Linked DNA regions of Saccharomyces cerevisiae S288C. The protein of the gene in region 1 interacts with the protein of each later gene in a biochemical or structural test. Each region holds a gene or a part of one and is shown on either strand. Other genes may lie near its edges.

The links.
Region 2: the proteins of STE11 (region 1) and STE50 form a complex in vitro, tested with the Saccharomyces cerevisiae proteins (11 studies listed by BioGRID, with this or other methods).

The regions. Positions count from the first base shown.
Region 1 is NC_001144.5:847,898-852,519, forward strand, and holds STE11 (mitogen-activated protein kinase kinase kinase STE11), read left to right. Parts: upstream 1-1,968; coding exon 1,969-4,122; downstream 4,123-4,622. Other genes in the region: DCR2 (phosphoprotein phosphatase), read right to left, coding at 1-1,227; YLR361C-A (uncharacterized protein), read right to left, coding at 1,486-1,782; NMD4 (Nmd4p), read right to left, coding at 4,598-4,622. UniProt on the Saccharomyces cerevisiae protein: Serine/threonine protein kinase required for cell-type-specific transcription and signal transduction in yeast. It is thought that it phosphorylates the STE7 protein kinase which itself, phosphorylates the FUS3 and or KSS1 kinases.
Region 2 is NC_001135.5:61,484-64,981, forward strand, and holds STE50 (Ste50p), read left to right. Parts: upstream 1-1,957; coding exon 1,958-2,998; downstream 2,999-3,498. Other genes in the region: LSB5 (Lsb5p), read left to right, coding at 175-1,239; MXR2 (peptide-methionine (R)-S-oxide reductase), read right to left, coding at 1,293-1,799; RRP7 (Rrp7p), read right to left, coding at 3,192-3,498.

The DNA.
Region 1 (4,622 bases):
AATTTTACCAACCGTAGAATATTTATGTGAGTCCAGAAAATAAAGTGTACCTACTGGGACTTCTGTATCATTGTTCGAAAAAATCTGATAAATATAATTACCAACGCCAAACGTATTATCGTGTGTATCATGGGGACTAAACTTGAAAAGGGAATATGGTAGTACTGAAGCTATTTCGGATAACTGCCAGCGCGTTAAGCTTCCCTCGTCGTCGTGATTTCCCCATACCATTGCCCACGGAATTTTTCTTGCAATGACGGGTGCTACCGCCTTTAATAATACGGTTTCAGAGTCTTGAATAGATCTATCACCCATGATTTGGTCACCAGTAAAAACAACCAACTGCGGTTTTTCAATGTCAAGAACTTGTTGAACGAAAGTTTCCGTTTTTGGATCTGCCTTGCAAGCTTCATGCTTTGGATACTCATCGATACATTCAGACTCCCCCACACCCAAGTGGAGATCCGCCAACTGAACAATTTTGAACTTTCCTTCATCAGTTTCTTGCAGCCGTTGAGCTCCTGTGTCTACAGGACGAGTACCAACGAATTTGTAAGTCAAATAAGCAGGTTCGCTGTAGCGGTATTTTACTAAGGGAAATTCTTTTTGAAGAGTCCAATTTGCTATCGGCTGGATGCAATCAACACCAAAGAGAATGTTAATATCGCTTATGTAGCTCCTTTTCTGCAATAGTTCTATGCTAATAGGCTCGAATGTGATGGATACATCCATAAAGGGTAGCGATTTGTCTTTAGGATATTTGGAAATTCCAGTTACTGCCTCAACATTTAGCTTTTCTAGGTTGGATCCAAAGTAGTCCACCAAAGCAGGGTATAACACATCATAGTAAAGGTATTCTGACTTTCCAAACCACCTGCGTCCAAAGGAACCTCTCAAGTCTTTATGAATTCTTTTCCTTTGTAAGTATTGGTGCCCATCAGTTAAAGTTGATTTAAGTTCATGCCGATTAAAACATCCTTCATAAAAACGACCAATATGAAAACATTCGTCATAGCCTATATTTACAACTAGCTTATCGTCATTTGAGAATCCCTCTAGACCTTTATTTTGGAACCATAGATTATCAACGTGTGATATCGGGAGTGCAAGGTCGAAACCAATGTGCTCTTCAACTCTTGGCGCCTGTAGGAAGTAAAATAGGGCAATCACTACAAAAACTACCAAGTATAATAGGTACCTTTGATACAGCCTCGGTAACCGGATCATGTTAAGATTTTTAACCACGGTGCTGGTCTTCGATACTTAAGTATAAAACTTGTATCAGAGGTATCTGCGATCTAAAAAGATTAATTTTTGAAAAAGATCAACACTAAACCATTTGAAATTCAAAAAGCACCTAAGGCAAAATATAAATCTAAATATACGTAAAATGGAAACACTTTCTGCGCAGCTTTATACAAGTTAGCCTTCTAGCTTATGAAATAGAAATGAAATATAACTGAGCAAGTCCTATATACAATACTATTAATGATCTTCTTGTCCATGAGACTGTTCATGGTGCCTTTTAGAGACTTCTTCATCACTTATCTGAGGCCTGTGGCCACCCGTTCTCAATAAACCACCGGCAGTATCTTCAACTGGAAATCTTGCACTGGGTCTTACGCAATGGGGCTTGCGTAACTGTTCAAAATCCATGATTTTAGTTTTCCCTCCCCCTTTTAAAGTAATCTTTGGATTCTCGCCCAACTTTTCCTCCACTTCTTTTATATTTTGGGTGCGTTCTTTACTATTATTATTATTATTATTATTACTAACTGCCATTATAGTTTCTTTATGCTGTCCTCACCATGCCTTTCGTTATCAGGCTAGCATTAAAAGCCTTTTAAGGTGTAAAGCTTTCGCCGCGATGGCTTTAAACAGTAGAAAATATTCATATTTACACACATGCATAAAGAGAGACCACTTAATAAAGCTAGTATGATAAGATCACCGGTAGACGAAATATACATGGAACAGACACAAACAGCAGAGGGCACTGACTTACTAATTGGTGACGAAAAGACCAACGATTTACCTTTTGTGCAGTTATTTCTGGAGGAAATAGGATGCACTCAATACCTGGATAGCTTTATTCAGTGCAACCTTGTCACAGAAGAAGAAATTAAGTATCTCGACAAGGATATCCTCATTGCTTTGGGTGTAAACAAAATAGGAGACAGACTCAAAATTTTAAGGAAGTCAAAATCGTTCCAGAGAGATAAACGGATTGAACAGGTGAATAGATTGAAAAACCTGATGGAAAAAGTAAGCTCTCTATCCACTGCTACGCTATCGATGAATTCAGAATTGATTCCTGAAAAGCACTGTGTTATATTTATCTTAAACGATGGTTCCGCTAAGAAAGTTAATGTAAATGGTTGCTTTAATGCAGATTCTATTAAGAAAAGGCTAATCAGAAGATTGCCACATGAATTATTAGCCACAAACTCCAATGGAGAAGTAACTAAAATGGTCCAAGATTATGATGTGTTTGTCTTAGATTATACCAAGAACGTACTGCATTTGCTATATGACGTGGAATTAGTCACTATTTGCCACGCAAATGATCGTGTTGAGAAAAATAGGCTAATTTTTGTTTCCAAAGACCAAACACCAAGTGATAAAGCTATATCCACATCCAAAAAACTATATCTAAGAACGTTGAGTGCATTGAGCCAGGTTGGGCCATCCTCGTCAAATTTGTTGGCACAGAACAAGGGGATTTCGCATAACAATGCTGAAGGGAAACTCCGGATCGACAACACAGAAAAGGACAGAATTAGACAGATTTTTAATCAGAGGCCTCCTAGCGAATTTATTTCTACCAATTTGGCCGGATATTTTCCTCATACAGACATGAAGCGGTTGCAAAAGACGATGAGAGAGTCATTTCGCCATTCAGCAAGGCTAAGCATTGCTCAAAGAAGACCTTTAAGTGCAGAATCAAATAATATCGGTGACATACTATTGAAACACTCAAACGCTGTTGATATGGCCCTATTACAAGGATTAGATCAGACAAGATTAAGCAGTAAACTTGACACAACTAAAATTCCGAAGCTTGCCCATAAAAGGCCAGAAGATAATGATGCCATATCTAACCAGTTAGAACTATTAAGTGTAGAGTCTGGTGAAGAAGAAGATCACGATTTCTTTGGGGAGGACAGTGACATTGTTTCATTACCGACGAAAATTGCCACGCCCAAGAATTGGTTAAAAGGTGCTTGCATTGGATCAGGCAGTTTTGGGAGTGTTTACTTGGGCATGAATGCTCACACTGGTGAACTAATGGCAGTAAAGCAAGTGGAGATAAAAAATAATAACATTGGTGTTCCCACAGACAACAATAAACAAGCCAATTCTGATGAGAATAATGAGCAGGAGGAACAACAAGAGAAAATAGAAGATGTTGGGGCGGTAAGTCATCCAAAAACCAATCAAAATATTCACAGAAAGATGGTTGATGCTTTACAGCATGAAATGAATTTATTGAAGGAGTTACATCATGAGAACATTGTTACTTATTATGGTGCTTCTCAAGAAGGCGGAAATTTAAATATTTTTCTTGAATACGTTCCTGGGGGTTCGGTTTCCTCCATGCTGAATAATTACGGTCCATTTGAGGAATCACTGATTACTAATTTCACTAGGCAAATACTGATTGGGGTTGCGTATTTGCATAAGAAGAACATTATTCACAGAGATATCAAGGGTGCAAATATTTTGATTGATATCAAAGGTTGCGTAAAAATTACTGATTTTGGTATTTCAAAAAAATTATCACCTTTGAATAAAAAACAAAATAAGAGAGCTTCTTTGCAAGGTTCCGTATTCTGGATGTCACCAGAGGTGGTCAAACAGACCGCTACTACTGCTAAAGCGGATATATGGTCTACAGGATGTGTTGTCATTGAAATGTTTACCGGTAAGCATCCTTTCCCAGATTTTTCTCAAATGCAAGCGATCTTCAAAATAGGCACAAACACGACCCCCGAGATACCTTCCTGGGCTACGTCAGAAGGAAAGAATTTCTTAAGAAAGGCATTTGAGTTGGATTATCAATACAGGCCTAGTGCCCTTGAATTGCTGCAGCATCCATGGCTGGATGCACACATAATTTGAAAAAGGGCTACTTATTAATTCTTTTTATGGCACTAAAGTGCTCTGGCCGATTTTTTATCAAATAATACATATATATCATATTTAGTGACATTTATTGAATATATCTGCTATTTACCGGTTTTTTTTTTTCAATTACGCTGATTAAGTAATCATAAATCACAATTGTGAAAAAAAGACCAAACTAGATGACGGTATTTGATTCTCATACCCCTGGAATAAAATCAAGTAAGATAATTCTGATAAAAAAATCCGACCGCACAGATGGAAGCACGAAGAAACAGGCCTTTCTTTGCGAGGTGATATCAAACCATTGATATCTTCTCAATAACCTGCTCTAGGAAAAGGAGGTAGATAGACAAAAGCAAGGAAATAATCCATAGAGTTTCATTCACATGAATAATCTGTTACCAATTTTTCTCATAAGATAAAGCCATCTATCAAAAATGATATTGAAATATTTGAAAAATGCTTGTTTTTATGGGGACCACAATTCGCCTGTA
Region 2 (3,498 bases), on another chromosome or scaffold:
CTTCAAGGTGATAACTATGAAACTGTTTTGACCTTGACGTGTAAAGTGATCAAGGTAATAGTTAAACTTTATATATGTTGTTTATCAATGTGGTATCCTTTCTAAGGATGAAGACAACACGATTGTGACAGTGTGAGAGAGTGATAAAGCATTGGAGGCAGGCAAAACAAGAACATGGGGTTTCTTTCGGATCATCCGCATACAGCTATCACCGAGACGATCTTTCGAATTGTCTCTTCAAGGGACTATACGCTAGAAGTGGAGTTAGCTCCCTTGATTCAGCTTATCAAAGCAGATCACAACGATTATAACTATACCGTGAACCAAGAAGAAGCTGCGCGAGCACTTAGAAAGAAAATAAAGTATGGGAACCGGCTGCAGCAGTCCAGGACTCTGGACCTCTTGGATCTGTTCATCTCACAAGGCGTGAAGTTTACAGTCATGTACAATGATGACAAGCTGCTGCAAAGGCTGAGAGGGATGGCTACGAACTCTGAAAACAGCGGGTCCGGTGAAAAGTATGAGCCTAGGATTATTAAGAAGTGCGCGGCGTATGCTATCTCGTGGCTAAACTATATTACGCAGAACAACCTTGAGAATGCGAGGGCGTATTCAGGTCTTTATCAATTGGGTCAAACAGTCAAACAGAGGTACTCGAAGAGCAGCCGTTCCCGCCGTAGCGGCGGAGGCTCTGGCGGACGGTCTAACTTCATGGATGATAGCGCCGACGACACTTTGTACCAGTCCAACTCGCTGACTAGTGCCGATAGATTGTATAGGATTCCACAGATCAACATGAACAAAGAGGCACCCAGGATTCGGCTCATAATCAGCGATGCTCTCGCGTCTGCTGTGTCGTTACAGAACTCGCTGATCGGGCTGCCCAAGGGCAAGTTCTCCACAGACGATGAAGAGGCCACGTCCAAGTTCATCCAGGCAAGGGCGATCAGAAGGAAAGTTCTTAGATATCTGCAATTGGTCACGGAGGGTGAGTTTCTGGGTAGCTTAATTCATGCCAATGATGAACTGGTGGCTGCGTTGACTGCATACGACGACCGAAGCGCTCAGGACGATAGCAGCGATGAAAGTGATCACGGCTCGTACGATGACGGTATTTATGATGAAAACGAGCAGGATAACAGCAGGTATATTGATAGCGAGTCCTCAGAGGAAGAGAGCTTGTCTTCTTATCAGCCGTCCACGATCTCAAACCCTTTCGGTGATCATAACAAAATTTGAAGAAGTATGTACGTATGCATACACACATATATATATATATATATATAGTACATTTAATCCTTCTTGAGGTTTAAAGACGCACTGTTCACACAGTGTCTGGTGTCCTTGGGCAAGTTTAGCAACTGTTTCCAGCCTTCACCTTCAAACACATGTCCCAAGTGTCCACCACACCTTGCACAACATATCTCCACCCTCGCAGGCATTAAAGAATTGTCACGATGATATGTGATGGCTCCAGGGGATACCTCTTCGTAGAATGCGGGCCATCCACAACGAGCGTCGAACTTGGCCTTGCTCGAATACAACGGTCTGTCGCAGTTGGCACAATGGTAGACACCGGACTCGTTGGTGTGTAAATACGCACCGGTGTTGGGCCTTTCAGTGGCCTTATCTCTCAGCACCATCAGCTGCAATGGTGTCAGGGCATCGTTCCACTTCACGTCATTCGATTCGTCACTCATTTTCTTGCTCTTATTCCAGTACTGCGTCAGTACAATGTTTCTTCTCCCTGGAAAAGTCCTGCGTACAGTTATAACGTACAGCCTGCTCCACTTATTCATTTTTTGATATTGCTTCCTTTCTCCCTTTATTTAAACTATCATCGGCGACATATTTCCCAATAGGCAAAGCTGAAAAATACTATCGCTAATTATAACAAAGAAGCTAGGTCGAAGGACTCGAAAAGACAGAGGTCGTACTAGCAGAGATAGCAAATCAGATGGAGGACGGTAAACAGGCCATCAATGAGGGATCAAACGATGCTTCGCCGGATCTGGACGTGAATGGCACAATATTGATGAATAATGAAGACTTTTCCCAGTGGTCGGTTGATGATGTGATAACTTGGTGTATATCCACGCTGGAGGTGGAAGAAACCGATCCATTATGTCAGAGACTGCGAGAAAATGATATTGTAGGAGATCTTTTGCCGGAATTGTGCTTGCAAGATTGCCAGGACTTGTGTGACGGTGATTTGAATAAGGCCATAAAATTCAAGATACTGATCAATAAGATGAGAGACAGCAAGTTGGAGTGGAAGGACGACAAGACTCAAGAGGACATGATAACGGTACTGAAAAACTTGTACACTACTACATCTGCGAAATTGCAAGAATTTCAATCGCAGTACACAAGGCTGAGGATGGATGTCTTGGACGTAATGAAGACCAGCTCAAGCTCTTCTCCGATTAACACACATGGAGTGTCCACTACGGTACCTTCTTCAAACAACACAATTATACCCAGTAGTGACGGTGTGTCTCTTTCACAAACAGACTATTTCGACACAGTTCATAACCGACAATCACCGTCAAGGAGAGAATCCCCGGTAACGGTATTTAGGCAACCCAGTCTTTCCCACTCAAAATCTTTGCACAAGGATAGCAAAAACAAAGTACCCCAAATATCTACAAACCAATCTCACCCATCTGCCGTTTCAACAGCGAACACACCGGGGCCATCACCTAACGAGGCGTTAAAACAGTTGCGTGCATCTAAAGAAGACTCCTGCGAACGGATCTTGAAAAACGCAATGAAAAGACATAACTTAGCAGATCAGGATTGGAGACAATATGTCTTGGTCATTTGCTATGGGGATCAAGAGAGGCTGTTAGAATTGAACGAAAAGCCTGTGATCATATTCAAGAACTTAAAGCAACAGGGTTTGCACCCCGCCATTATGTTAAGAAGAAGAGGTGATTTCGAAGAAGTAGCAATGATGAACGGAAGTGACAATGTCACCCCCGGTGGAAGACTCTAATGTGCAGTTGTCATGCACATCATCATACTAAACTTACACGAATAGGATAACATGTATGCTAGCAGAATATATATGAAAGAAAAAAATTATTGATGCCTTTAAACTTATACTATTATACTATATTATGTTATATTATATTATTAGTTTTATAGATATATTGAGATATGTTGAATATGATGACGAGGATGGTGGTTTAAGTGTATGGATTGAATTTTCTCTTAGCTTTCATTACCTTGATTCTTTCTTGATCTTCCTTAAATTTACTTAACAGTTGATTGATCTCCTGTTTTTTACGTTCTCTGACCTGAAATCTATAGAAATCTTTCTTTGCCTTTTTATCTATATTTGAAATTGGCTTGGCCTTATTTTCATGTTTGGATAATGGATTTTTGTTTAATATTTTCTTTCTTATGGAATTCAATGACTTGGTGTTCTTTCCTACAACTAATGTGAATCCATCCTCATCCACTATAGAACTTTGAACATCCTCTTGTGCTTGA